Rattus norvegicus: one gene and its partners. The protein of the gene in region 1 purifies or fractionates together with the protein of each later gene. This does not show direct contact. Links are inferred from orthologs where the notes say so. Each region holds a gene or a part of one and is shown in the gene's direction. Other genes may lie near its edges. The genes, in order: Stk25, Proser2, Cttnbp2, Ppp2r1b, Cab39, Slmap and Cttnbp2nl.

Evidence for each region.
Region 2: the proteins of Stk25 (region 1) and Proser2 purify together in Homo sapiens (affinity purification with mass spectrometry; 3 studies listed by BioGRID and IntAct, counting the BioPlex papers as one, with this or other methods). This does not show direct contact. The link is inferred for Rattus norvegicus from reciprocal best matches to the Homo sapiens genes STK25 and PROSER2.
Region 3: the proteins of Stk25 (region 1) and Cttnbp2 purify together in Homo sapiens (affinity purification with mass spectrometry; 3 studies listed by BioGRID and IntAct, with this or other methods). This does not show direct contact. The link is inferred for Rattus norvegicus from reciprocal best matches to the Homo sapiens genes STK25 and CTTNBP2.
Region 4: the proteins of Stk25 (region 1) and Ppp2r1b purify together in Homo sapiens (affinity purification with mass spectrometry; 3 studies listed by BioGRID and IntAct, with this or other methods). This does not show direct contact. The link is inferred for Rattus norvegicus from reciprocal best matches to the Homo sapiens genes STK25 and PPP2R1B.
Region 5: the proteins of Stk25 (region 1) and Cab39 purify together in Homo sapiens (co-immunoprecipitation; 3 studies listed by BioGRID and IntAct, counting the BioPlex papers as one, with this or other methods). This does not show direct contact. The link is inferred for Rattus norvegicus from reciprocal best matches to the Homo sapiens genes STK25 and CAB39.
Region 6: the proteins of Stk25 (region 1) and Slmap purify together in Homo sapiens (affinity purification with mass spectrometry; 5 studies listed by BioGRID and IntAct, with this or other methods). This does not show direct contact. The link is inferred for Rattus norvegicus from reciprocal best matches to the Homo sapiens genes STK25 and SLMAP.
Region 7: the proteins of Stk25 (region 1) and Cttnbp2nl purify together in Homo sapiens (affinity purification with mass spectrometry; 6 studies listed by BioGRID and IntAct, counting the BioPlex papers as one, with this or other methods). This does not show direct contact. The link is inferred for Rattus norvegicus from reciprocal best matches to the Homo sapiens genes STK25 and CTTNBP2NL.

The regions. Positions count from the first base shown.
Region 1 is NC_086027.1:101,618,560-101,622,681, reverse strand, and holds the start of Stk25 (serine/threonine-protein kinase 25), read left to right. Parts: upstream 1-1,322; 5' UTR 1,323-1,427; intron 1,428-1,589; 5' UTR 1,590-1,645; coding exon 1,646-1,675; intron 1,676-3,776; exon of another isoform or gene 3,777-3,794; intron 3,795-4,122. UniProt on the Homo sapiens protein: Oxidant stress-activated serine/threonine kinase that may play a role in the response to environmental stress.
Region 2 is NC_086035.1:77,060,052-77,064,199, forward strand, and holds the start of Proser2 (proline and serine-rich protein 2), read left to right. Parts: upstream 1-1,339; 5' UTR 1,340-1,457; intron 1,458-1,748; exon of another isoform or gene 1,749-1,888; intron 1,889-4,148.
Region 3 is NC_086022.1:47,927,713-47,931,716, reverse strand, and holds the start of Cttnbp2 (cortactin-binding protein 2), read left to right. Parts: upstream 1-1,176; 5' UTR 1,177-1,266; coding exon 1,267-1,347; intron 1,348-4,004. UniProt on the Homo sapiens protein: Regulates the dendritic spine distribution of CTTN/cortactin in hippocampal neurons, and thus controls dendritic spinogenesis and dendritic spine maintenance.
Region 4 is NC_086026.1:60,102,527-60,106,069, forward strand, and holds part of Ppp2r1b (serine/threonine-protein phosphatase 2A 65 kDa regulatory subunit A beta isoform), read left to right. Parts: intron 1-1,416; coding exon 1,417-1,590; intron 1,591-3,412; exon of another isoform or gene 3,413-3,525; intron 3,526-3,543. UniProt on the Homo sapiens protein: The PR65 subunit of protein phosphatase 2A serves as a scaffolding molecule to coordinate the assembly of the catalytic subunit and a variable regulatory B subunit.
Region 5 is NC_086027.1:93,966,595-93,970,137, forward strand, and holds part of Cab39 (calcium-binding protein 39), read left to right. Parts: intron 1-1,662; coding exon 1,663-1,728; intron 1,729-2,650; coding exon 2,651-2,794; intron 2,795-3,396; coding exon 3,397-3,543. UniProt on the Homo sapiens protein: Component of a complex that binds and activates STK11/LKB1. In the complex, required to stabilize the interaction between CAB39/MO25 (CAB39/MO25alpha or CAB39L/MO25beta) and STK11/LKB1.
Region 6 is NC_086034.1:1,687,399-1,690,941, reverse strand, and holds part of Slmap (sarcolemmal membrane-associated protein), read left to right. Parts: intron 1-848; coding exon 849-971; intron 972-2,623; coding exon 2,624-2,698; intron 2,699-3,397; coding exon 3,398-3,543. UniProt on the Homo sapiens protein: Associates with the striatin-interacting phosphatase and kinase (STRIPAK) core complex, forming the extended (SIKE1:SLMAP)STRIPAK complex.
Region 7 is NC_086020.1:195,240,100-195,244,408, reverse strand, and holds the start of Cttnbp2nl (CTTNBP2 N-terminal-like protein), read left to right. Parts: upstream 1-1,505; 5' UTR 1,506-1,539; intron 1,540-2,204; exon of another isoform or gene 2,205-2,341; intron 2,342-4,309. UniProt on the Homo sapiens protein: Regulates lamellipodial actin dynamics in a CTTN-dependent manner. Associates with core striatin-interacting phosphatase and kinase (STRIPAK) complex to form CTTNBP2NL-STRIPAK complexes.

The DNA.
Region 1 (4,122 bases):
CTCGCACCCATGTCATTTAGCACATAGCCCCTCTGTAACTCCAGCTCCAGGAGATCCAAGTCTTTTCAGGTCTCAGTAGGTTCCTGTTCACATGTGACATACACACATGTGTACATATAAAAAGTCTTAACAGAGTAGACCTTGCCAAATGTCAGACTTAGTTATAGGAGGGATCGGGAATGGACCCATACTGTCAGGCTACCCTGAAGACCATCTTAGAGATGGTCTTTTTCAAAGGCAATAAAAATAGTTGTCCGCCCCCCTCCACCTCCACTATTGTTTATGCCTTGGGGGGACCACAGTGCTTCAGGACCCAGTGCAAGGCCTGTTTGTTGGAAGTCTATTTTCTTCTGGGGAGAAACACAGCAAACAAAACCTAATCGACATGTAGTAAAGCTTGGAGAGTCAGATGCAAGTCTTGGATGCAAGGTTTAAGAAGGCCCCGGATGGTGCCCAAGACGAAAATCCACCAGAGAACAGAAACAAAAAGCCTTCGTGAGCTGGGGAGTGGGGACATTATGGTGATTTGCACTGAGCCATCATAGGTGTTGATTCAGCAGAAAGGACACAGTACTGAGTCAAATCTCCCTCCAGTGGAGCACTAAGAGACTGCATAGAAATGGTCACTGCTGACAGGGTCACTCGGTTTGAATTCACAGGACGAAGGGCATCTTCCAGCGTTGGGAAACCATGCTGGATCACACAAGTCTTCCCAGAACCAGGTCATGTCCTGGGGGCATACGATTACACCTTTTCAGATAGGGAAACTGAGGCAGGAGAGAAGCACTTGCCCAAGACTTCTCTAAGGGTGTGTGTGTGTGTTGCTAAGTGCAGACAAAAGGGTGGCACTGCGGTTAAAGCTGAAGCACCAAGACCTGAGGGTAATATGGGTTTGCACTCAAGGTACATAGTATGGGTGGGTCCCAGAGACTGAGCAAACAGAGCTGGGAAAATAAGAAGAGGGCTGAGGATGGGTGGGTGGGGTTTGAAGACGTAAGGCAACTGCGCACGCGCTGCACCCGTCACACCGCGCGGCCTGACGGCAGGGGCGGCCCAGCCCGGGTTGTCTCTCAAGGTTCGGATCTAGTCTGTGGCGTATTATTGCCTCTCCACACGACCTCCCACCGCATGTTCTCCTGGGACATGTAGTCTGACGCCATCAGGGCCTCAGAGCACTTGCGTAACTCCGAAGCCTACCGCGCAGCCTGCTGGGACTTGTAGTCTCAATTTTGCGTGCCTGGGGTACCCGGCGTGCTGCGGGACTCCTAGTCCCACAGAGCTTCGCGCTCGCCACGACGTCCTGCTCAGAGCCGCTGCCTCCACCTCACGGGCTGGGAGGCCTGGGCGTTCCGGGAGACCGAATTGCGGTGTGAGCCGCCGTGGGGACTGCGAAGCGGGCCGGGAGTCCGGGATGGAGCCGCCCGGAGGTGGGCGCTGCCAGCGGGCCTCGCCTGAATGTTGGGGAGGCTGGGCACGCCCTGGGGGCGGGTCAGGGGCCCTGGGCGCGGGACCGGAGGTCGCGGGTGAAGGGACGCCACGGAACGGCTCCCCCGGCCGCTGTTGACCCAGCGGCCTGCGGTTTCTTGCAGGTGCTTGAGGCGAGCGGGTGGAGCGGCTGCGACGGACTGGTCACGTCAGCGGGGACATGGCTCACCTCAGGGGCTTCGCGCACCAGGTGAGTGTGGGCGTCGGAGCGGATTTGTCCACTTGGGGCGGGAGAGGGGCGGAGGCCGAATGCCTCGGGGCGCGTCTTCGGGCCGTTGTAGCTCTGGCCTGCGCGGCGGAGCCAGCGCCTGCGGAAGACATGAACCACAGGGAGGGAAGCTCTGCTATGTGAGGGGTTCTGCTCTGGAGCTGGTGTGGACAGGTGCAGGAGCCTGCCCTGGGCAGAACCTGCTTGACCCAAGCTCGGAGCCCCTTCCCAGAAGATAGACTTTTCCTTTCTTGGCTAACGGATGGAACCCCAACATGGAACTGCATCAGCAGGGAGATGGGGGCTGCATAGGGGTAGAGGGCTCGGTGGTTTGCTCTCTGGACCCCTTTTCTCGCCTTTATTTATTTATTGTTGTTGTTATTTCAAAGCAAATAGGACAGCCGTTAGTGAAGTAGAATATCTTGCCGGCTGGTTTTCTCTGGCTTTAGCTGTGGGATTTGCTTTTTAAGGGCTCGGTTTGGTTAGGCTTCGGCTTGACAGTTGCACAGTGAGGGAATCAGTTCTTGAGGACAGTGCAACCGACGTCCCCCCCCCCCCCCACCGCCCCCTTCTCCCTGCATCCTTGAGAACTGGGTGTGCAGACAGGAAGCGTGTCCATCCGCTGCTTGTGGGCAGGAACTGGAAGCAGGGCTCCTTGGAGGAAACCAAACCAGCCTGGAAGACTCCTCACAGCTGTTGGGTAGGGCTTTTGTCCCAGCTGTCACAGATGGGATCCTGCGCTTGCTAACTGATGCTGAGTTAAGCTAACACATTTTTAATACATTTTTGACATTTCGCCTCTAATTATATAACACACTGAGAGAAAAAAAAAATCTGCCTCTGGTTTATTTTTAAGACGCTTAGGCTTCGCTCCTGTAGGCCCCCAGGATGACAAATTGGAACTATGAACTGTGAAGGAGTAGAGAGATGATGGCTAGTGGACCTTTCTCAAAGAGAAAAAAAAAACACCCTTTTGTCTCTTTAGAGGCCTATGTCCAGTGTAGACTTACTTGGCTTCTGAGATTGACACAAAACCTTTGTAGGGCTGTTTTCTCCCAAGATGGCTGCCATGGAGTCCTATGAAACTGTTCCTTTTGTGTGGTAAGGCTTGTACTTTCTCCGCTTCTGCCTTAGATTACCTTTTACCTAGCCAGTTCCTGCCCATCTCTGGGAGGAGCATGGTTATGGGAAAGTTCTGTGTGACTGTGGTGGTAGTTGTGGATGTGTGTTGAGTTGTTCCTCTTGTTTTGGGTAGGTGATCCACAGCAGGCATGTTGGCAGATAGGCCAGAGGCTGTAGGTATAATATCTCCAGGACAGAATGGAGAGAGTATGGGTGAGGTTGTAGGTATAATATCCCCAGGACAGAATGGAGAGTGTATGGGTCTCAGTTGTTCAGAGTAAGTTAAATGGCTTGAGTGATGGTTCATAGCACATCCTGTCCAGAAGAGAAATCTGAGCCACCCAGATCAGGATGCTAGCTGTCTTTGATTGGCTGGGCTTGGGACTAGGGCTGCTTCGAAGGTATAAATACAGAGTCAGGACCATGCCAGAAAGGTTCCTGTCATACTGTTTCTAAGGATGGCTGGTACACAGCTGTAGGTACCCCAAAAAATCCATAGACTTTGAAGACTAGGGTTACCCCCTTCCTTGCACAAAGCTTAGAACTCTGGCTTTGGGGTCTGTTATTTTCTCCTCCTCTGAGGCAGTGGTGAGTAAATACTTGGCCTGAAGTATCCTTCTTGGGCTGCTATAGTGGACCAGTTCTGACTTTAGGTTCCCCAATTAAGGATTCTCATGGCTTATGGCTGAGCAGTGTGGGAGGACACGGTGTCTGAGCCTGAGGAGTAGGAAAGGGGCCCTGAGAATTGGAAGGATAGTGGTCCTGGGCTATGTAGTTAGCCCATGGCTTGAAGTGTTTTGGGGCCTGCTGGAGCAGAAACAGGCAGAAAAACAAAAATAAAAGAACAAAACAAAACATCAACAAAACAGGCAGGTAAAGGTCTGCTATGTGGACCTTATTCTGCACCTGACTTTCAGGGCTGGCATTGAGCAGAGGATCAAGTGGTCACTGCCCAGACGTGAAGTGACAGGAGGCTAAGGTATTGTCACACTGATCACATCCACCTTTATCAGTTGTCTCTACACTGATGAGTGTGGGGAGAGCCCATGGCCTGGAGTGGTTCTTTCTGATCTGGCTTGGATCCAGTGCTGATCTTGAAATAGCTGAAGTGTCTGACCTATCAGCCACACTAGAGATTTTTTTCTTGGCTTTTCATTTAAGTAGGAGTGGCTGGGATCAAACACTACTTCCTGGCCAGTACAGCCTAAGGAACACAGGCAATCCTCAGCTTTCTCTGTCAGGCCAATCTCAGTGCGGCCTTTCAGGAGCTCAGGTGGCAGATCTACTCCAAGCATCTATTGCTGTTC
Region 2 (4,148 bases), on another chromosome or scaffold:
GCCCTGGAGATGGCTCATCAGATTGAGGGGCTTGTCCTGAGCCCTGAAATCTATCCTACGTGTTGGAAAGACAGCACCAGTTCCTGAAGGCTGTTTGCTGACCTTCCCTTTTGTGACGAAACTCACGAACACACACACACACACACACACACACACTTCACACACTTATACACACACTCATACACACACTCACACATACTCACACACACTTCACACACATACACACACATTCACACACACACTCACATATACTCACACACACTTCACACTCATACACTCACACACACTTCACACACACTCACACACTACACACACACTCACACACTACACACACACTCACACAGACACACACACATTCACACACATAAACACACACATACTCACACACACTCATACACACACACACACACACACACGAATGAAGGGATGAATGAGTGGATAGATGGATCAAAAGAAACCAAAGTCCTCAAAAAGCAAGAAGGATTTTGACATTTTTTTCATGACAAAAAAAAAAAAAGATAAATGTTTAAGGAGCTCCATGTCTACTCTGCTGAAAACTTTGTTCAATGTGCACAGGCATGAGGACAAGTAACTCACAAATGGGCAATGCTTATAAGTTCATTACAAGTGAAAAAGCTGGACGTGGTCGCACACGTCTTTAATCCTAGCCTGCAGATGGGTCTCTCTGAATCAGAGTCTGTGTAGTGAGCTCCGGGCCAGCCAAGTCTACAAAATGAGACCCCTTTTCAAAACAAACAAACAAAGACCTAACCCCACCCCCTAAACAAAAATAAATAGGAAAAAAGAAAACATTGTCTGAATGAATTAATGAAATATGTATGCTATGTGCCTTGTTTGAAAGTGTAAGTATTTCATCAGTCACAGCCATTATTATTATTAAATGGATAGTGACTCTTTAGAATAGTGTTGTTGAATGCCTGTAATCCCAGAAGTCAGAAGGCTGAGGCAGGAGGATCATGAACTTGAAGCCATCCTACATAGTGAAATTCTACTTCAAAAAGCAAGCACCAACGGAACTCTCAAAGTTGCTGATGAAGTTGCTGGTGAAGTCCCTTCTTACTCAGGGCTTCAAAAGCATGTCCGCATTGCGACTTCACATTGCTCACCCTCAGTTCAGTCTCACAAGGAGAAGTCTTGAAAGGCCCAGTCCAGGGCTTTGGGCGCTGGCCCTTTAAGTTTCGCGGGGGCGCGCAGACTACCTCTGGCCCACGGGACTCCTGTAGCCGGGAACGCGCTGCCGAGGTGCTGTGTGGCTGGGCGCGCGCGGCCGGCCGGGAGAGCGCGGCAGGGAGGTGCTGGGTGCCAGAGAGCGCGCGCCAGGCAGCACGGGACGATCGGCGTGTGTGCGTGCACGACTTGCTGGCTGGCGGACGGCGTGAGCCCTGCGGGTCTCAGTCGGCGTGGACACCTGCGACCCGCGAAGGGGACTTGGCTCGGTGAGTTCCGCCCCACTGAGCGGGGACAGGCCGGGCGCCGGGAGCGGGGTGCGGGGCGCGGCAGCAGCTGTCCGGATCATCCGGGGCGCCGGGTCCGGGTCTCGGAAATTGGGGAAGTCGTTTGCGCGCAGCTGGGGCGCTGTCGTTGCCCCACCGTGCTGCCACCGGATGGCCTTCATCCCGGGACTTCGGGGGTCGCGACGCGTGGCTTTTCACCTTGGGGTTTTCCCGTGGGCGAACGCTCAGTGGTTCCTGGCGTGTTGTCTGAGTTGGGTCCCAGACTCTCAGGCTTTGGTCCCTTACCCTTCCTGGAGCCGACTGCGCGTGAGGACCGTGTCCCTTGCGAGGCTCAAACCTGGAGCCACCTGTTAAACCAGGATCCTGCGCGAATCTTTCCGCAGGTTTTCCGTGCCCCGGCCGGTTCCCCGCAGGTAACTGAATCGCGCGGGGATGTTTGTGTGGGGCTGCGGGGTGACCTGGGACCGTAGGATTAGAAAGAACGAATATGTTGCAAATGGGACAGGGCTTAACAAAAGGCAGTCAAATAAACTGCAGCGTTTCCCCAAGACAGAAAGTTTCCCAGCATTGTTTGACGGATTCTAAATTTAAGCAATTAGCCCCCCTCCCCTAGGCACTTAACCGCAGGACAACTTTTAACTCTTTGCCTGAACCTATTTGGTGCAAAGGAGAAAATGAAGGGGGGAGCCCAAATGTGTGTGTGTGTGTGTGTGTGTGTGTGTGTGTGTGTGTGTGTGTGTGTGTGTGTGTTTCTCCCCTAAACAGAGTAAAACTTTCAAGCCCTGCTGTGGGAAGATTCCTTCTGGCTCCAGTTTTAATAGAGACAACAACAAAACGCTTTGTCCTGGAACGATCTAGAAATACCAAACCAGGTATTAAGTGTAAACTTGGGGAAAGTGCTTGCAGGATGGACTTTTGTGAAAAAAATAATTTTTCTATGAGGTGCTCCAGTGTGTGCTAAAACTTTGCCCTCGTACTCCGTGCCTGAATGTTCCAGATTGTTTTTCTAGGTGGAGGAGGTACTTTCGTTGGTGCGGCCAATGTGGAAATACAAACAAATGCCCTATTTACTTGGGGTTGGGTGGGAAGGGTGGAAGTCAGGCTGAGACCTTTCTTGCCAGGTTGACAGTGTATGTATGGAATCTTCTGTATTTTCTTGCCCAGAAGAGTAATAGGCTTTTTTTTTCCAGGGTCTGGATTGGTTCCTTCTAACAGTGCCTCTAGTAAACGTCTCCTGGAAAATTTTGGATGCTGATAATTTGAAAGCATTTTTTTTTCTCCATTCATAGAAAACAGACATTTGAAACTAGGATAAGTAACAGCTACAAAGATGGGCTGTGCTTTTGAAAACAGAGTCTCGGAGTCTCGTGCTTCCTCTGTTGCAGAGGGGTTGGCCTGTTTTAAGGGAGGCTTGGTGAGGCCCTCAGTTCCTCCATGGTACATTTGTGGTCTGTCTGACCAGCTGAGCCCTGACTTGCCAATGCACATGGAGAATCTCTAGATAAAGAGCTGTGGGGTCCAAACTGATTAAACCCAGATCTGGTAATCCTGCCTTCGTCGGTGGCTGATGAGACTCCTGGCCTCGGCTCTGAGGTTCTCAGACACCTCAGGAGCCTACAGTTGGCACCTTGTGTTGATCTGAAGATCGGCTCAGGTAACTGCTGGAGGCAGAGCAGAGCCTTGAAACCAGAAGGGAGGCAAGTGGATGACCTGTGGGGAGCAGAGGCCAGCACAGGGAATCCTCTGGAACAAAAAGTTCGAGTGTATCTTATCTGAGCTGTTATGGGATGCATGCCAATGGCATCGGGCCATTTGGTAGGTGCCAGGGGAATCCTAGGAGCATCACAGATCCTGGGTGCTTGGATGGTCAAGGGTAGCATTTGTCTCCATTGCACTTCTTGGTTGCTCAATCATGGCTTCCTCAGGGGTGTCTTACAGAGAGGGCCCTCTGTCCAGTCTCTGAGTGCCTCTGCTCATGCTGGGTTGGCCGTCTCTTATAGCTATATCTGTGGTCTGTCTGACCAGCTCCAGTGTGCTGAGCTGATAGCCTGTCTGTGTGAACCACAGAGAAGTTCCTCCTCCTCCGTAAGGCCATTGCTCCCTCCCGGGGTGACAGCACCCATCTTGAAATTTGAGAGAATTTAACAAAAGCCGGTGTTGTACTAATGGTCTGTACGGCCTCATATCCAACCTTTCTGGAGCAGAGTCTGCTAGGTCTTTGTGAATGGAGCATACCTTAGCACTGGGAAAACTTGATTCTCACCCATCAACCACTCCTGCCCCATCCGGGTCTCATTTAGTTGAGGCTGGTCTTGAACTTGAGCTTGATGCCTGGTAGAGCTTCCAGTCCATCTATCTCTACCTCCCAAGTGCTGAAATGATTCTCATTAAGAAAAAAAAGTTTATTACATGTATTTGTGTGCATACATGTGTGTACATGTGTGTACACATGTGTGTATACGTGCACACGTGTGTATTATGCACGTGTGTGCATTGTGCACATTCGTGTGCATTGTGCACATTCGTGTACATGTATGCACATATATGTGCATGTGCCACAGTGCCCATGTAGAGGTCAAAGGACAGTTTACACAGATGGGTACTCTTTTTCACGATGTGAACCTCTGGTATAGAACTCAAGTTGTCACATTTGGTGGCGAGTACCTCCACTCA
Region 3 (4,004 bases), on another chromosome or scaffold:
CTATCCCCTCCCCCTCCCCATACAGGTATCCCCCCCCATCCACCCCCCTTACCGTCCCACTCCCTCCCGACATTCCCCTGACTTTGTTTTTTGTTTGTTTGTTTGCTTGCTTGCTTGCTTGTTTTAAACGCTTTGATCTATAACCCATACAACTGAACATTCCAGTCATCCATCTTCCAGAATTTCAAGCGTGGGATTGGGTGGTGCGTTGATTCGGCTTCACAGAGACACAATTTGAATGTCTCCATTTGATTTTGTGCTTTCAAAGCATTTTGGGGGGATATGGAGATTTGGGAAGGTCTTTGCCCTAAGGTCTCAATCACGTGATAGACTTTTCAGATTCAGCCAGAAAGTCTAAGAGCAGAATTAGAGGTAGGAGATGGGGAGGCTTGGGCCTAACTCATCCATACAAACTCCAGCCATGCATTCCCATATGATCATTTTGACAAAGGTCTGTGTGTGTATCCTTGTGTCCTAACTTGTACGAAGGAAGTTGTTGTTCTCTCAAAAGTAGTAAGACATCACTGGATACTTGGTGCTTTTTCAGAACAGATCTCAGGCTGGGGTGGGGGTGGGAGTGAGGGATTCCTCCTTCTTTGAAACGAAGCAGTTACCAACCGAGCAGATAGGTACCGGCGGATGAGGGGTGCTAAAAACAGCTGGACACAGACTTTGAGCTGTGGGTTCAGACTTAGAGTTGATGGTTTTAGAGAGGACTAGCATTGAAGATGTGATAAAAACAAAGCCGGGTATACAAACCAAGAGGGTAGACGTTTGCAGGCCACAGGGACTGGAAGATATTAAGAAAGGCACCTCACTGGAGCTAATGGTAGTGAGGAACGGTTGCTCGATTTTAGATTTTTTTTTTTTTTTTTCACATCCAGGAGTCTGGCCCAGGATCGACTTGAGCCCGGCTGCCTAAGCAAAGATTTGGCCAGCCTTTGCCTCGTGGGAGGAAGCGTGCCTTCTTTTGCAGCCCCGGGTGTCTGTCTTTCGGACATCAGCGCGAGGCCGCGCCGCTCCGGTGCCAGTTCTTGGTCCTGTGGGAGCGACTGGTGCGGGCGGGCGGGTGGGCGGGGCTCCGCGTTTCCAGCGCGCAGAGGGTTAAGCGGCAGGGGCGGTGCGGAAAGGCGGGAGGGGACCGCCGAGCTCCGGGGCTGAGAGCGCCGCGGCCACAGCCAGCAGCGGGTTAAGCGCCGCCCGCGCCGAGAGAGCTGAGCCCTGCCGCCGCTCCGAGCTCGCATTCGGATCCGCTAGAGCAGGAAGATGGCGACGGACAGCGCGAGCTGCGAGCCCGACTTGTCCCGCGCCCCGGGCGACGCGGAGGGGGCCACGGCGGAGGCGGCGGTAACCGAGTTCCCTGGGCACCGGGATCCGTGTAGACGGGGGCTTGGGTTGGTGCCAGGATCCCCACTGGACACTCCCCTATGGGTGCCCGGTCCTTTCCTGGGATGCCTTGTCTTTCTCTAGGGTGCCCCCTTACTTCCACGGGGTTCCTTTTCTTTACCCATGGTCTCTCTTCCCAAGGGTTTCCCTTCCTCCTCCTGGATACCCCCTTTCTCCTGTGCCTCTTCCCTTGGATACCCATTCCTTCCCCGGGGTGTGCCCTTCGTGTGTCCCTTCCCCAGGGTGTCCCCCGGGACAGAAGCGGGTTCATGTCGGGGAACGCCACCTCCTACACACACCCAGATGCTAGGGACCCGGTCGGTCCTTCTGGACACTCCACACATATCCCTGATGACCCCCATGCCCATTCGCGGGGTGCTATGGAGGATCTCAGTCCCCATTGTTCACCGCTTCGGGGCGCAGAGCGGACGCGAGTCTCGGGGTGCCTGACACCTCTCGGGGGACCTGGGTTAGTAGAGAGGGGGAGGTGAACCATCGCCAGGCAGGTGTGGGATGCTCTGTGTGTGTGTGTGTGTGGGGGGGTCATGTGTCTTGGGGAGGCTGGTGGGAGAGGCCCAGCGAGCACCAGCACTTTGGGTCCTAGCTGACTGCTGGCTCAGTCAGTCATCTGTAGGGATGATCTTCCAGACCTAAAGCGGGATTGAGCTGGTTTTTCTGAACCTGGTGTCAAAACATTGTTCCCTTTCTCTGGCGTCTTAAGTTCCTTAGGCGCATACCCGCTCCCTTCTTTGATACTCTGTCTTCTGCATGCACAGATATTACCTTCCTACCTTGCTTTGGGGGTCTTGACCCACAAAGCCAGGTTGGAAAACATTCTCAGGTCGAGGAAGCAGCTTTTGCTGGAGCTGCAAAGATCTGCAAAGAAAGACAGGTCTGGGAGCGCCTCCCACCCTTAGCCAAATCCAGCACCTCAGAGGATTCCTTAGTGGGACAGAGTGAGCTGAGCCCCGCGTGGACGACCCCTCGTGTCTCCCACCTCTAGATCCAAATCCGGGTCTGGGCAGTGGAGGTCAGGACCAGACGTAAACAACCTGTGTTGTTGAATTTCCTCCCACCTCTGGCTTCGAATGGGAAAGGAGAGACGTGGAGGAAGGTGCTTGGTGGTGAAGGCTGCAAAAGCAGAATGCTAGAGGAGGGTAGGGGAAGGGAAACTACTAACCCCCATCGTGAAAGTGGAAGATATGGGCTTGGGGAGCTTTGAGGGAAATTCGCATTTTTCATTCTTTGCCGATAAGAACGTTAAAGATATTTCAAATGAAACCTTTCCACATGTGAATTTCTTTCTATGACAACGGAGAAAACAAGTCCCTCTGGGAGTTGAAATTATCAACTGTCCTGTTCTCCATGGGAGTGGGGGGAGTGGAGGTGTGGCAGAACTCGCCTCTTCTCTCTCTCAGGAAGGTGGATAGTTTGTTTAATCTACTTAGAATACACCCCTTTGTGCCTACACGATATTTCAAGCCCAAGATAAACCAACACCAGCACGTGGTTTATGATGTGTGATGTAAAACTGTAAACAAAATTGCATTGTCAGGAATACTTTTGTTCCAACGAGGTCAGTGTTCCTTGTCAAATGTTCAAAAGTGTCAGGAGCCTGATTCAAATGCGGATAAATTAGCAGCTTGATGACGTGACTCTTGTTAAGGGGAAGAGTCAAGAAAAAAACTCTCCCGAAGGAAAGGAAAGAACCTCTTTCAAGGGATCCTATTCTGTAGGCTTCCAACCTGCACTAACAGCACACTTATGGTTTTTAAAGTAAAAATGTTACGCTTCAGTCTGTAAAATTGGGCTATATTGATTTTTTACCAGTAGTTTGCGCTTGAAAAGGGGACTCTTAACATGACCTACTTGAGTAAGCTGGTCTTTATTTCCAGGTAGGGTCACAGGGAGCTAAACCTTACCATGGAGTCTCAGTCACGTACCTCTCTGTCTCCTGAGGTGCTGAAATAGAGGACCTTACCACCACCAGCCTGGTTTTAGGCTGTTTTTGTCGTTGTTTTTGGCTCAAGAAAGAAAAAAAAATAGAGAAATCCTGTTTGTCGTGCTTGTTTTTCATCTAATGGTTAAAAATTAAATCTTTTAGTTTGCTTTTTTTCTTGGCCGACAAAAAACTTAATATATACATATTTTTAATTTTAAGGAGAAATTCTCTTTCTGCCCTGAAGAGATTTATTTCATTTCAAACTGGTTTACATCTTGTGGAATTTTATATATACATTTGGCAGAATCGAGCTAGTGAAGCCTCAAAGCCATTGGCTATTTTTGAAAGAGCATGTTTTCAGAGGGTTTTTTTTTTCTTTTCTATTTAGATTGTTGCTTAGGAACTGGCTTAATTTATAGTTTGCAGTTTAATATAATTTCCAGTGGAATGTTTTAAATTTAGTTTGTTATCCTTGTTCTTCGTTGTTTAAATCCTGAAAGCACCTCGAGCTAACAGCTACATCATTCAATAGGATCTTATTAATAGTCTACGCTGTGATCCATGCTGGGAGCCTGGGTTATTTTCAGTACCTTAGCCAAATGCAATGACTTTTATAGGCCATATTGCTATTTCTGCTCAGAATATAATTCTTTCTGGTAGGCAGTATGGAAAGCGG
Region 4 (3,543 bases), on another chromosome or scaffold:
AGAGCATAAACATGTTCATGTAAGTCATGAAATACGTCAGTCTTAAACTAGCCTGAACTACCTGCTAAATGTTTTATGTTATATCACTGGTTCCTTATAGTTAAAGTTCATATATCTTTGCTTAAACAGTATCTTTTTACTTATGTTTAAAATGTAGCTTCAGATATTAACATTTAGTGGCCTGAGGTGTGGCTCAGCAGTTAAGAGGCCTGCTACTTGTAGAGGACCAGAGCTCCAATTCTGGTGTCCATATTGAATGGCCCATAAGTGCAACTCCAGTTCCAGAGGATCCAACTCCCTCGCTGGCCTTCATGGGCACCCACACATTTGGGCACACATGTACACTTTACACAGACAGTACATACATACAGATGAACAAATGATGTGAAAGTTAGTGTCAGGCATGATCGGAGTGCTTTGGATATGCCATTCACACCCAGCGGGCTTGAGGCTGACTCCTCATGCAGAGGAAGTGAAGCACAGGGATAGACATCTGAGGTCTCCCCGCGCAGGGGCAGACCTAAGACTTGAGTACATAGAACTGAACTCCAGGGCCTGGGCTTTTTACCATCGCATAGACTTTATGCTTAATTATTAATTAAAAGTTTTTTTTTTCTATTCTTTTTTTGGAGCTGGGGACCGAACTTAGGGCCTTGTGCTTGCTAGCAAGCGCTCTACCACTGAGCCAAATCCCCAACCCCTAATTAAAAGTTTAAACTTTATTATTGTGTGAGTGAGTGTGCACTCGTGTATACATACAGAGCTCAGAGGCTATCTCTGTGGAGTCTGTTCTCTCAATCCTCCTTTATACGAGTTCTGGGGATTGAATCCAGATTGCCAGTTTGTGAGGCAAGCCCCTGTTCCTGCTGAGCCTTCTCACCTGCCAATTTGTTAATTGATTTTTAAATTACAAAATCATGACTTTTTACTGATACTGTGGTTACGATTAGTGACACTGTGTTTTGGATTACCTGTGTACTTAGCACTAAGGATTTCTCTCTGCCGGTATTCCTCTGGTCAGTTCTGGCCCTCAAGTCCATGGCTCTGTGCAGGCTGGACAAATGCCTTTCTCACAGCCTCACTGCAGCTTACCCCACCTTTTAAAACCTGAGCCGAGACTTAATTTCTGTTTTCTGTTTTGGTTTGTTTGTTTTTGTTTTTTTTTCAAGACAGGGTCTGTCTGTGCAGCCCTGGCTGTTCTGGAGCTCATTCTGTAGACCAGGGTGACCCCCACCTTAAGAGATCTGCCCTCCTGTGCCTCCCAAGTGCTGGGGTACAAGATGTGGGCCACCCCCCAGCTTAGTACTTTTCATTTGAAGTTCTGTTTAGCACTTTTTATTTTCTCATGCTAGGAGAGTACTGGGCAAAGCAGCTAATTTTCACATGGAGTCTCTGGGGCTTGTGTGTTTATTGTAGTGTCCAGAAGTTCGTTTAAATATCATCTCCAATTTGGATTGTGTGAATGAAGTGATTGGAATCCGTCAGCTCTCTCAGTCTCTCCTCCCTGCCATTGTGGAACTGGCTGAGGACGCCAAGTGGAGGGTCCGCTTGGCGATCATTGAGTACATGCCGCTGCTGGCTGGCCAGCTGGTGAGTACCGTGCCGGGGAGTCCAATTGTGGACTTACGGCGAGTGGGGGCTCAGGTAGTCAGGCTGCTGTGTCTCCATCAGATGCACTGGAGTAAATTCTTGTGGCCTGCAGGATGCTTTTGTGTTTGCTTGCTTTTTCAAGACAAGGTTTCTCTGTGTGGCTTGGTCATCCTGGCTCTCCCTGTAGACCAGGTCTGCCTACTCTGCCTGCTGGGATTAGAGGTGTGTGCCACCATCTCAGAGGATGGTTTTTATTTTCAGTGGTGCATTATGGCCTAACAGGAGGGTGGTCCAGAAACACATTCACCTTACTGCCTCCTCATGATAAAGGTGTAGAATATGTAATTTCTTTATTAGTTTTATTCTAATAGATGTGAGTAGTTAACATTTCAAAGCTGACTCTACTGCACACCTTTCCCTTTTTTCTCAGTAGGGGAAGACGAGGGCAAGCTTGTTAGCCTCACCCCTACCCATGGTAGCTCTTAGACAGTTAACTGTGGGGTGGTTTCTGTGGCTTCATGGTGCTAGTTATTAATTAGACACTTGGCATTTCCTACGAGTTGGATGAAGGGAGACCTGAGTAGTTTCAGAATGCTCATGGATCAGTTTACTGCTGACATTTCTGTACTTTGCCCCCCAACCCCAGTGCCCTGCCCTGCCCAAAGGTTCATTTCCACTCCTTTCGGATCACAGCACATGGGCGGGCTCGTATTTTCTTGACCACTGCACCATTACTGATTTGGGTGGTTTATGAGCATGCGTCTTGTAGATAGCCATGTTTTATCAAATCTGAAATTCTCTGTTCCTCAAAATGAAGGGCAAAGATCCTAACTTATCCATGTGTCAAGTGATGTCATCTTATCATGTTTCTTCACCATCCATTCCAAATGGGGGTCATTTTCTGTTCCTCTGTCATCTTCTGTGTCACTGTCTAGAGTGGAAAGCAGCAGTGGCTAATGATGGGCTTGCTAGGTGGAACGAAGCCCCTGTGTGGAAGGAGGTGGAGGAGGTGGATTGTGTTTACCATTTCTTTGAACCTTACCCCACCAGACCTGGAAAGTCTCCAGGGCTGCCAGCAGTATGCAGAAGAGTGTGGAAAGAAGACAGATGTCGTCTTGGCTGGTTAACACCTTCTGGCCGGGGCAACATCCCTCAGTCATGGACACTGGCTGGGGTGGCATCTGTCAGTCATGGTCACTGTGTCTTTCTCTCTAGAACTGGAGTTACAGTTGTGAACTGCCATGTAGGTGCTTGGAACCAAAACCAGGCTTTTTGTAAGAGCTCAAATGTTCTTAATGGCTGGGCCATCTCTTGCCTCCATATTAGTATTCTTAATTTTTCTTTTTGTGTAAACTTTTAGTCAATAACATTTTCTCATGACTCTCCAGCCCAGCTCATAGGCCTGATGAGTAAATACAGAGTTAAACCACAGACTGTCTAAAGGAGATCACAGGGAAATCCTCAATCTGGAATAAAAGTAGGAGTCTGAGAGCTGATGCTGTGGGCGAAGTGCCTGCCAGATTTGGTCATGGCCTGGTGAAGCCGTCCTGTGTAAACACAGAACCCTTGTTGTTGGTCTTTCTTTACATACATCGTCACTGGTCAGGAATGTCTCAGACGTGAACCAGAAAGGAAGGCACCAGTTAAGTGTGCATCCTGGGCTTACCTGTGTGGTGTGTATGTCCTATGGCAAGAGGTCTTCGTTTGTTCCCAGCCTGTGTGGGGACCACAGGCTGAGAGTCAGGCGCCAGCTATCACTTCTACCTTTGTCCTGCACACTGGTGCCTGTTTTTTCTCTCTACTGCCTTCTCTCATGCTCTAGAAACACTGTCTTCTGTTGGTGATCTCTTGGTGTCACTTGCTGCGTGCTCAAGGACTTGCTAACTAAAAAGGAGAGATGAGAATTACCAAGCCCCTCAGCAGCTATTTTTCTGGGTAATTCACTTTCCCATG
Region 5 (3,543 bases), about 7.7 Mb from region 1:
AGGCAATGGAGTGATTTCATGGCTTGGGGAGTCAGGACAACCTGAGGAACTGTATCAAAGGGTCAAAGCACTGGGCAGTGGTAGCACATGCCTTTAATCCATGCACTCAAGAGGCAGAGGCAGGCAGAGCTCTGAGTTGGAGGCCAGCTGGTCTACAGAGCAAGTTCAGCACAGGCTACACAGAGAAACCCTATCTCAAAAACTAGAGAGAGGGAGAGAGAGACAGGCATAGAGGCAGAGGCAGGGATGGGCAGACAAACATAGAGGGAGAGAGAGAGAAAGAGGGAGAGGGAGAGAGAGAGAGAGAGAGAGAGAAGAAGAAGAAGAAGAAGGAGGAGGAGGAGGAGGAAGGAAGGAAGGAAGAAAGGAAGGAAAGGAAGGAAGGAAGGAAGGGTTGCAACATTAGAAAGGGTGAGAACCACTGCTCTAACATCAGAACCCAGAATCTGGCTTCAAGTCCTAAGACTAAAGGCTTTCTTTACTCTTTGTGCCTCCTTTTAGCCTCAGAGCAGCAGGTGCCACTAATGAGTGTGTAGAGTATGTGACCTTCTACCGCTCAAGCTCCTGGAGAGAATGCTAAAACACAGTGAGATGTTATTTGCGAATGTGACATCAGCTAACAAGATTTTAGAAAGCCATTTTTACAGAAATGTGTGAAGTGCAGTCAGATCTGAGGGAGAAGAAATATCAAGTCCTACCAAAAAATATACTTAAAACCTTGACCACTTTTTTGGTTTTGTTTGTTGGTTTTTGCTTTACCAACTAAAGAATGGGGGGAAACAATCAGTTAAAAGATGAAAAGATATGTGCTGGTTGCTCAGAATGTCCTGTTGACATAGTTGAAGGGAAGCTGGGTTGCCTGACATGCATTGGCATTAATTGCTCCTACCCTGATGACATGTTCTTACTATCCCCACTTGGAAGACCTGGTGGACCCCTATCACTCTGATTTACAGCTTTGCATTCCCCGGGTCTCTCATTCCAGGAATATCTTTCCTTCATCCCATTTCTAAGTAATATCGATCCCTTCACCTTTGAGCCAAGTTCTCACCTTTCAAAAGTCCTGTCTCCTTAATACTGGAGGTTTCTCCCCTCTCTTATCTTTATTTTCTCTCCTTCCTTGATACCGTGAAAGAACGGGTTCGGTTTTCTCTTTGTGGTTTAGACAAATAGAGTTCCTGTATATGAAATGATAGGAATTTTTTAACACCAAGAAATGAATATGGAAAGTGTGAGAAGGTGTTAATGCAGTGGTCCTCACTAAGCAGATATTTACATTATGATTCATAACAGTAGCAAAAAGTTAAAAATAGCAATTACATAATGTATGGTAGAAGGTCAGCCAATGTCTTAAAGGGTTGCAGCATTAGGAAGGTTGAGAACCACTATGTTAATGTTTTATGCACATGGAGTTAGGGTATAGAGGGGGACTTGTCAGTGTAGTCTGTGGATCTGACTGGAGCCTGGAAGGGACCAGTCCCAGGAGCTCCCTGAATAGAAGTGGCTGGTGGCATTGCCATAGGGGCACATGAGGAAGGGAGGTTTGACATCATTGTCAGCAGGAGAGCTCAGGCCTTTGTTATTTCAGAGTCTGTCCTGAACTTTACAGTGTTATCTAGCTGCCTTTTCCTTAACCCTGATGTGTGTTTTCTGGTCTCCTAGTTTTTCAGTGAATATGAAAAGCTACTTCATTCAGAAAATTATGTGACAAAGAGACAGTCACTGAAGGTATGGCACATTCTCTTTTTCATGTCATTCATTTCTCTTCACTATGTATTTGCAACTTGAATTTGGAGCATCAGGGACATGCTGGTGCTGGTTGTAGACCTTTAGGAAAAAAAGCACATTTGTGCTTTGAGCATGGTTGGGGTCTTTCCAGGGTGTGGGGTGTGGTAGTGGTCTGTATGCCCACATTATAAGGTAGAGACCCCAAAGGGGAATATGCCACTCAAAGCTGGAGATCTGAACCCAGGCAGCTAGCACCAGGACAGGTGCCCTTCTATCCGCCCACAAGGATATTGTCTGCTCCCAGCCCGGTATGTGGCTGATAGACAGCCTCAGCTGGAGCTCAGTGCAAGCACAACCTGGAGGACAGTCCCAGCTGAGCAGTAGCCAGCCGCTTGCACACTGGGTTCATATGGAATAGTGAGGAGGTACTGAGACAGCGGAGACGGTCTCAGCTCCCTGCTGTGCTTTCTGAGCAGGGCTGTCTTGAGGAACCACTGCTGAGATGCAGCTTTTTGAGGCAGATGTGAGAAAATGAAAAACAGCATGCATTTAGGCAAACACCACCCTTCATCCTGGAAAGCCCTGCTAAAAAGAATTTAAAACAGGAAAAAAATTAGTTAATAAACGGAACTTCCTCTACCCTTTCCTTCTTTGGGAGGTGGTGGTTTGTTATGCTGTCATTTTTTTTTTCTTTTTTTTGGGGGGGGGGGGTTGGGGACCGAACCCAGAGCCTTGCGCTCGCTAGGCAAGTGCTCTACCGCTGAGCTAAATCCCCAACCCCTATGCTGTCATTTTTATTTTTGTTACTGTCTTTTGAAACCAGTCTCTTCTAGCATCAAGTGACGACTGGAAGATGGATTGTTTAATTTTTTGATTTGCTCTAAGTCTTAATTTAAGAGTAATGGTCTAAATGTCTTCTCAGCTTCTGGGTGAACTGCTGTTAGACAGACACAACTTCACTATTATGACGAAATACATCAGTAAACCTGAGAACCTCAAGTTAATGATGAACCTCCTCCGAGACAAGAGCCGTAACATCCAGTTTGAGGCCTTTCACGTGTTCAAGGTGAGCTGCACAGCAAACAGTACCTTCTTCTGAAACTTCATTACAAGTCCTAAAGTACTGCCCGTGTTGTAACCAGTCAGAGCGTGCAAATAGAGGCGGGGCCTGGGTGGAAATGGGCTGGGCCCTTGCTAGTGAGAAGAGAAGTGTAGTCAAAGAAGGTGGGTATTACTCTTCAACTTGCACAGAGGTGTGCAAAAACAAATGCTGCCCCTCCTGTCCTCGTCTTCCCCCACCCCCCATCCCATCTGAGGCTCCCCTCAGACTCTTTCTCTAGCTGCTTAAGTAAGGTCCAGTACAAGGCCAGAGGTATTTTTAATGCTTTCTTTGTGGGGTAGGGTGTTAATCTTAAATTTCAGTCTGACCTCCTGTGCCCAGAAATAATTATTTGATTCTAAACTCAAAGGTGGTGTTTAGACCTCAGTACTGTGTGTCAGGGCAGGCAGAATGGCTTGGCAGTCTTTGTGCTAAGCCTGTAGTCATCATTATCCCCGTTGTCATGTAAAAGTAAGTTCTTCTGAAGAAAGACTAATGCCCTACCCGCCCAGGAGCTGCTGGATGGGCACTGATGTCTCCTCTGACGGACGTAGTTTTCTCTTCTGCAGGTGTTTGTGGCCAACCCCAACAAGACACAGCCCATCCTAGACATCCTCCTCAAGAACCAGACCAAACTCATCGAGTTCCTCAGCAAATTTCAGAACGACAGGACGGAAGACGAGCAGTTCAATGATGAGAAGACCTACTTAGTCAAG
Region 6 (3,543 bases), on another chromosome or scaffold:
CCCTGCTGAGCCTGCAACATAGATCCTTGGTGGGCTTGGAAGTGCCTCCTCTCCCTGCTGAGCCTGCTCGTCCTCACGTTCTTTCTTTTTTTTTTTTTTTTTTTCCGGAGCTGGGGACCGAACCCAGGGCCTTGCGCTTCCTAGGCCTAGGCAAGCGCTCTACCACTGAGCTAAATCCCCAACCCCCTCACGTTCTTTCTTAAAGATGAATTTCTTTTGTTTTTCCATTTTTGTTTTAGCTCCAGGTAGTTTTTCTTGTCTTATTCTTGAATTTCAAAGTCGATGGAGAAGGAGCTGGCAGAGGGTTGGTTGCTCTGGTAAATTAGGCATTTGCTGCCAAGCCTGATAACCTGAGTTCAATCCTTGGGAGCCCCATGGGGGAGAGAAAGAGACAGCTTCCTTACGTTGTCTTCTGACCTCTATATCTGCACTGTGGCATGCAGGCATGCATCTCTCTCTGTCTCTCTCTGTCTCTCTCTCTCTCTCTCTTTCACACACACACACACACACACACACACACACACACACACACACACACACACCAATAACCGTAGTAGTAAGAACATGATTGAAAACTGATGGAAACAGTGGTGTGCCTATCTCCTCACTGGATTTCAAGTTTACAGGAGATGAACATCAATTATGTGTATGTTAATTTCTATCTTTTATAGTACTAGTATCTGTGTTAACTAATGTGCTTACTCTAATTTGCTTCTAAGTTTTATTTAACTCAGTTGTGCCATGTTGCAAACTATGTATGTCTAAACATGAAAGAGTGCCAGACACTAGTTACAGAGAATATAGTGCAGTACTAACACTTGCTTTTTAAAAAAACGTGTTTTTGTCAGATGACTTACAGGGTACCCAGGCAGAAACTGAGGCCAAACAAGACACTCAACATCTTCGGAAAGAATTGGTGGAAGCCCAGGAGCTAGCTAGAGCAAGTAAACAAAAATGCTTTGACCTTCAAGGTGAGACGAAGATCCCTGCAGCCCCCTGGGGTCCTGTGAGGCAGAGTAGGTGTGATGGCACAAGAGCTCAGAGCCCAGAGGCATGGCAGGGAGAGCCAGGGCTGGGCTGTTCTCAGACATCACTTCAGCTGGTGAGAGGGCTATCACAGCTGCTCTCTGCCTTTGTAATTGTGAGGAGCACAAGAGCTCTACCGACAGAAGAGCTCTGTGCTTCATTGTTAGTCTGTGCTCTTTGCAGGCTGAATGTCCCTTATCTCAAATGCTCAGGTCAAAGGATTCAGATTTCATAGCATTTCATATTGCACATGTGTTTGGATGTGAGATGCTCCATCCACCAGTGTGGATCCACACAAGCCTGGCTCAGGAGGGAACCGTGTAAATTAAGTTAGTGCTCACTTTTCAGGGTGGTTATTTAACAGGAAGGTTGCAGACAGGGTTCAAAATATGGAATCTTCTCAGCTGAGGCCAGTGGTCTATGTAGAGGGGAAAGGGTGTAAGTTTGAGGCCAGTCTGGGTAGTTAGATGCCCTCAAAAAAAAAAAAAAAAGTCTTTTTCATCTCAGCCACTTCTCTTCCTCGTGGCCTATAATCATCCGCCTCTGGAACCATTGCCCTTTGGCAGTTAAAGTCTTGGAGAGTCCCAAGATCCAGCCCATGGATCCTTATGGCACCCCTAAGTTTTATGAGATTCCCTTCCTGGGCAGAACAATTCAAATGCCAAGATGAAGCTGTGAATTCCTAACTACTTCCTTTCCTGATTCTTAAAGACATGATTGCTGATGAGCTGTTAGGACTGTGGCTTATCTTAAGGAAGGCCAGCCCAGTGCATGTGGCCCTGGCTTTCAGCCACAGAACTGCAGAAATTAAAAAGTAGGCAGTTGTCTCTCTTGACTTTATTATAGGATACAAACTAATGTTTAATTACAATGAAAAATATTTATCAATCAGCCATTGTTTTTATTTACTATGTGTTTGACAATAAACACAAGAATATTCCATTTTGGGGTTTTTGTTTTGTTTTTTTGTTCGTGGTTGGGTAGAGTTTTTTTGTTTTGTTTTGAGATAGGGTCTCAATACATAGCCTTTGCTAGCAAAGGGACTCACTACATAGATGACAACTTGCTTGAATTCACAGAGATCTGCCTGCCTCTGTTACCTCAGTGTTTGGGTTAGATTAAGTATGCAGTATGATACCCAGTCCTTAATATGATAATTTTTTAATGGTACCAGGTATTGTACCTAGGCCTTTGTGTAAGCACTCTGCCACAGAGCTATCACAACCCTCTAACATAGCCTAGGCTGGCCTTGAACTTGTGAGACTCCTTGTCTTAACCGTCCCCGTATTTGGGATTATAAACCTGTGCTATCTTGCATTGCTCAAAATGATAACTAACAATTATGTGAATATTTCTTGTGTAAGAAAAGCCTACTGGTATTCAGTGTATGAAATTATGGAACTAGATTTTATAGATTTCTTACTTACTATTGTTTTGTGTTCTAAAATCTTAATGGCTAATACTGATAATACTTAACATCTAACCTTGTGTCTCTCCATAAACTTTAAAAGACAAATTTTAGAAATTTCTAGTTGCACAATTATGAATGTTTTTCATTAACTCACAAAATTAGATACACTGTGTTTTTGCCTTTTAGCTCTTTTGGAAGAAGAACGAAAAGCCTATCGAAATCAAGTTGAGGAATCAGCTAAACAAATCCAGGTTCTTCAAGGTATGGGGCTCCCACGACTGTTAAGACAGCTGTGGTTATGGTTGTGTTCAGTGATTGCAAAGGAATGGAAAGTAAGGTTGCAGAGGGTCCTCAGTTGCCATGGCTCTGTTCTTCCCTAGAAACCGTCGTACTAGGCCCTTGGACAGTTGGCCTTCAAAGCAGACAAAGGGAGGGACTGTCCCAGTAACCCATCATAGACACTGGAGTTGAGAAGGCAGGGTCATGCTAACTGGAGTGCTGCATGCCTGTAATCCAGCACGTAAGAGGCAGGATGGTCATGAGTTTAAGGCCCACCTCAGCTGGGTAATGACTCTGAGTCCTTCCTGCCTCAGCTAAAACTGTCTCACTGCCTCCCTCCCTACAAAATATTTTCATCGGCAAGAAGATAGAAAAATATATATTATATACATGCATATATAAATCCCTTTGTACTCAATGTTCGTTATTTTATATATGAATGAAGGCATTAGAAAAAAGAATAAATGTCAACATACTAAAATAAATTTACTTTAGGTTTTTGGCTTTTTTCTTTTACATCTGTGTTCTGGTATTTTCTGTACAAACATGTGCAGTTTAATCAAAAGAAAGTGAGGAAAAAGAGCTGTGAGAGTGAGGCTGCACAGTGGCTGAAACCTGTAATGTGCTGTAATTGCATTCCTAATCCCTGTGACTTGGGAAATGATAAATACACTTTTACAGTCCAGCTGCAGAGGCTACACATGGATATGGAGAATCTCCAGGAGGAAAAGGACACTGAGATTTCTAGCACGAGAGATAAATTGCTGAGTGCTCAAGATGAGATTTTGCTCCTTCATCAAGCAGCAGCAAAGGCTGTGTCTGAGCGG
Region 7 (4,309 bases), on another chromosome or scaffold:
CTAGCAGACTATGGCACAGATTGGAGTTAGTCTTGTAATCTTTCTTTTCCAGTTATTAATTCTATAACCTTCAGTTGGATCTCTTGGTTTCTTTGACTCGTCATAATCACTCACGGTGATGTCCACTATACAGGGTATGACAGCACTGACACGGATATTATATGGATGAACATAACACTGTGTTGACAGGAAATACTGTTTTACTTCCTCTAAACCATGATTACTCAGGCTGGGCATCTCTCTACCCAGACTGTAAACTGCACCTGTCTCGAGGACTGTGTTTGCCTAGGGCAGTGGTTCTCAACCTTCCTAGTGCTGCTGTCCTTTAATATAGTTTCTCACGTTGTGGTGCTCAACCATAATTTCGCTGCTACTCACAGCTGTAATTTTGCTGTTATAAATTGTAATGTAGGTATTTTTTTTTTTTTACAGATAAAGGTTATCCGAGGGGTTGTAACCCACAGGTTGAGAACCACAGGCAGAGAGAGTATTAAATTCCTAATATTCTCCTGCTGATAATTGTGAGGATTAGGAATAATGTATTCAGAGTAGCATGTTACTTGTGCACTTAAATACTTGTTTTCTTACATGTACTTGTTACAAATTCTTTAAAACAATGTGGTCAATCACTTGTGAGCTGAAGTGCAGGCTACGGTAGAGTGCGTTCTCTTCCCTCCAGGTTATCCGGTCTTGTTTTTATCACTAAGATCTGCATTCCTGTGTTCACAAGGACAGTCATTCCCCCTCATCCAACTGTTTTGTTTTGGCTTCGTTAAAAACGCATTCCCCACAGTATGACGGGGCCCAAACATATAAAAGAGGGCCCCACATTCATGAAAGGCAAGCACAGTGTGGGAAAACTGCGCGTAAGTTTGCAATTATTTGGCTTCGCCCTGAAAGGAAGGTCGGCAGGGGTTATGCCCTCCTCTACCGGGTGCTGTCCTGTCTGTTCAACCCCAGAGTCTCCCTTTGTGTACCCAGTGTGATGTGTTAAAGGAGATGGTCTTGTGCCCTTGCTTTCCAGCACCACACCCAAAAGTCAGTGCAGAGAGAGAGAGAGAGAGAGAGAAAGTGAGAGAAGCAAAGAAGACACGTTACTAGGTTTTCAATAACTAATTCTAAAACAAACGCTAAAACTCACTTCTTTTATTCACATTTTGGATAAACCCCAAATTAAGCCACCAAAAGGTGTTCTCAGGATCCTGAAAAGTTGCAGAGCCCAGGCGGAGAGCAGAGCGAACCCAGACTCCAGCCGACCAGAGGTGGTACTTCCTCCCGGAAGTGACGCCAGCTCAATCCCAGCCTGGCTCTCCCAAACAAAAGGGATCTTGCAGCCCCAGGAGGAGCCGGGATGACTTTGGAGAAGCCCAGCCTTCAGGCGGCGAGGATTGGTTGCAGAGCCGCAAGGGCAAGACTATAATTGGCTATGGTATCTGCCGGTCACTGCCGGCGGATGAGGGGGCGGGTCCTGGGAGGCTGGGGATGGGGAGCGGGCGGCGGAGGCGGCGGCGGGGAAGGATCCCGGAGCGCCGAGGCCAGGTACGGAGCGCGGGGTCCGGGCTCTGCGGTGCTGGGTGGCCGGGTCTCCGAGAGAGCCTCCCGGCCCGGAGCGTGTATGGCTTTCAGCAGCAGTCCCTGTCGGGGTAGGGATGGTCCCTTAGGGGGCGGGGCCGCCGCCTCCAGATCCCGGGATTCCCCGAGGAGGCGTCGCGGCATCCTCCAGGGTCCTCGCGACTGTTCATTGTCTCTCGCCAGCCTCCGCCCTTTAGCAGGGGTCTCCCCCTGACCTGTCTCACTCCATGTCGCCTTTTGCCCAGCCCTAGCCTCGGAGAGGGACTGGTGGGTGCAGTTTCTAAGCTGCAGCCCCCACCCCTATATTGGACCCCCGCAAGTCCAGGCATCCCTTCCCACACCTGCCCCTGCTGGCAAGTCTGGGTCCAGAACTAGGGTGCTGTATAAGATCTAAAAAAAAAAAAAACAGCGTTGTTCTTATGAGGGATGGGCGAGGAGGAGGGAAAAAAAAGACGAGACCCAGACAGACACCTCCAACAGTCAGAGCGGCCTTCTCCCCTCTTTAGCTCTTCCCATCCCCCAGCCTCTGATTGCTCCTACGGTCCCCCCAGATCCTGTGTTGTCTTGTTGAGTGTTGAGAGCTCCCCGGCTTAAATCATGTATTACCTTCTTCCCTTCGCCCTTTGTACCTTCCTCGCCCTTTATTTTTCTTGTGGGAGAAGCCAGCTTTTGGGGGATTTTTAGGTTTGAGTTGCCTTTCAGTTTTGCTTTCTACCCGGTTTCTTCCCTGAGAACTTAATAGGAAAGCATCCGCATATTTCATAGCAAGGTGGGTGTGTTAGCTTTCAGCAGAGTTAGCCTTGTGTGGGTAGGAATGCAGTGTGTATTGTTTGACAGTCAGTTATTAATACCATATTTTCAAATGAAACGGTGTGGAGAAGTCAGTAAATGCCTTTGCAGTAGGAATCCCCATCTCTCAGTTTGTAGTGGGCTGGTCCGTTGCTCCGGGAGACTGCAGTTAACCTTGAAGGTGTACGGCAGGTTGAAACAAAAGACAGGAAGTATTTGAACAAAATTCAGGTTCAGTTGGCTAGGTTTATAATTAATCTGGTCCTGTGGCCTCTGAGTACTATCTCACCCCTGTTTTATAATGAGATTTTATCTCAAAGAAAACGTATCTACATGTGATATGATTCTGTCTGGCGTGCCCGCATCATCAACCAAAATTTAAAGCATTAAAATAAAAGGTAGTTTTCAATTTCAGAACAAGAGCCTTGTTGACTGTCCCGATGTTAATGTCATCGAATCTCTAACCATCAGCTGTGGCTAGCAGTACCACCTATTAATTTTTCTATATTTTTGGCATTTTAAATTTTGATCCCGAGTTCATTTTACTGTTGGTTATTTATAGCCGACAGATGTGAGGTGCAGAGTTGCAGTCACAGAGGGCGATTGTAGTGGCTGTTGTCTGTAGCCTTCCTGAGTAGACTTCCTGAAGGTAATTAGTTTTGAATAGTCAGGTTCCAGAGCCACTCTAGGGCTCTGTGATTGTTTCCAGACACCTAGAGAAAGGAAGCACAAAGAAGAAACTGTATACAGGGTCTCTCCTGCAAACACAAAGTTTATTGCCATAGGAAGGAGAGATCCATTATCCCAGAAATAGCATCAGGGGTTTAAAAAAAAAAACTAGAAGTAGAATAGGAAACCCCCAAAAGATGTATCTTATTACATGAGTGGAGAACAGGAAATAAATCCAGGTAGGAGACGTCGGGAAACCTAAGGAGTAGTGATTTCCAGGGCCCTGACAAACAGAGGAAAAGCAGAATAAAGCCACTGATGTTTTGGCACAATAAACAAGAGCTGCTTAATATACCTTTGATCTGGAGGGCTGGTTTTGTTTTGTTTCATCAAGAGTGCTACTGTGTCTCCTTATGCTTCTGAAAACTGTGTAGCCCAGGATGGCTTCCCCTCCTGTTGGGATTACAGCGTGTACTATGATGTTCAACTCTGATAGAATTCTTTCCGATAACCTTTTCACTGTCATTTTTGGTCATGTTAAATGAAAAAAGCATTGTGTGCAGACAGTTTGTGTGTGTGGGTTTAGTGCATTTCATTAAATTATTCTTTGACTGCAAAAAGTTCTTGTAGCTTCCACGGTGCCTAATAGGAACACTGAATTTAGTTTAAAGCTCTCACATAAGAGTCAAACAAGACAGATAACAAACTGATAAAGTATGGCACATCTTGTTAAACCATCCGCCTTCTTGTCTTTGTGTAATTTGATTTTTCCTTATCTGACATGATAGGAAATTGCAATATCTGAAGTGGCTAAAATATTGACTTTCCTATGAGAAAATATCTCTGGATAGGTTTTATATATATATATATGTTTACTGTCATGAATTCTGAGCCAGATATATATGTATAAGAATCTGACCTAGTGGAGGTGGGGTGAGTTCTGGAGAACACTCTAGGAACTGTTGGTTAATTTTTATTGTAATTTCTGAGTATTTGATTTGACCCTAGTGTGCCGGCTAGTTTTATGTCAACTTCATACACGCTAGAGGCATCTGGGAAGAGGGAAACTTCAGTTGAGAAAATGTCCCTATCTGATTGGCCCATGGGCAAGCCAGTAGGGCGTGTTCTTGATTAGTGGTGGTTGTTGAGAGTGCCCAGCCCACTCTGGGCGGTGCTCCCCTTAGGCTTGGGCCTGAGTGCTATAAGAAAGCTGGCTGAGCAAGCCAGTAAGTGGTGTTCCTGATCCTCCATGGCTTCCGCCTCATTTTCTCAGTCCAGG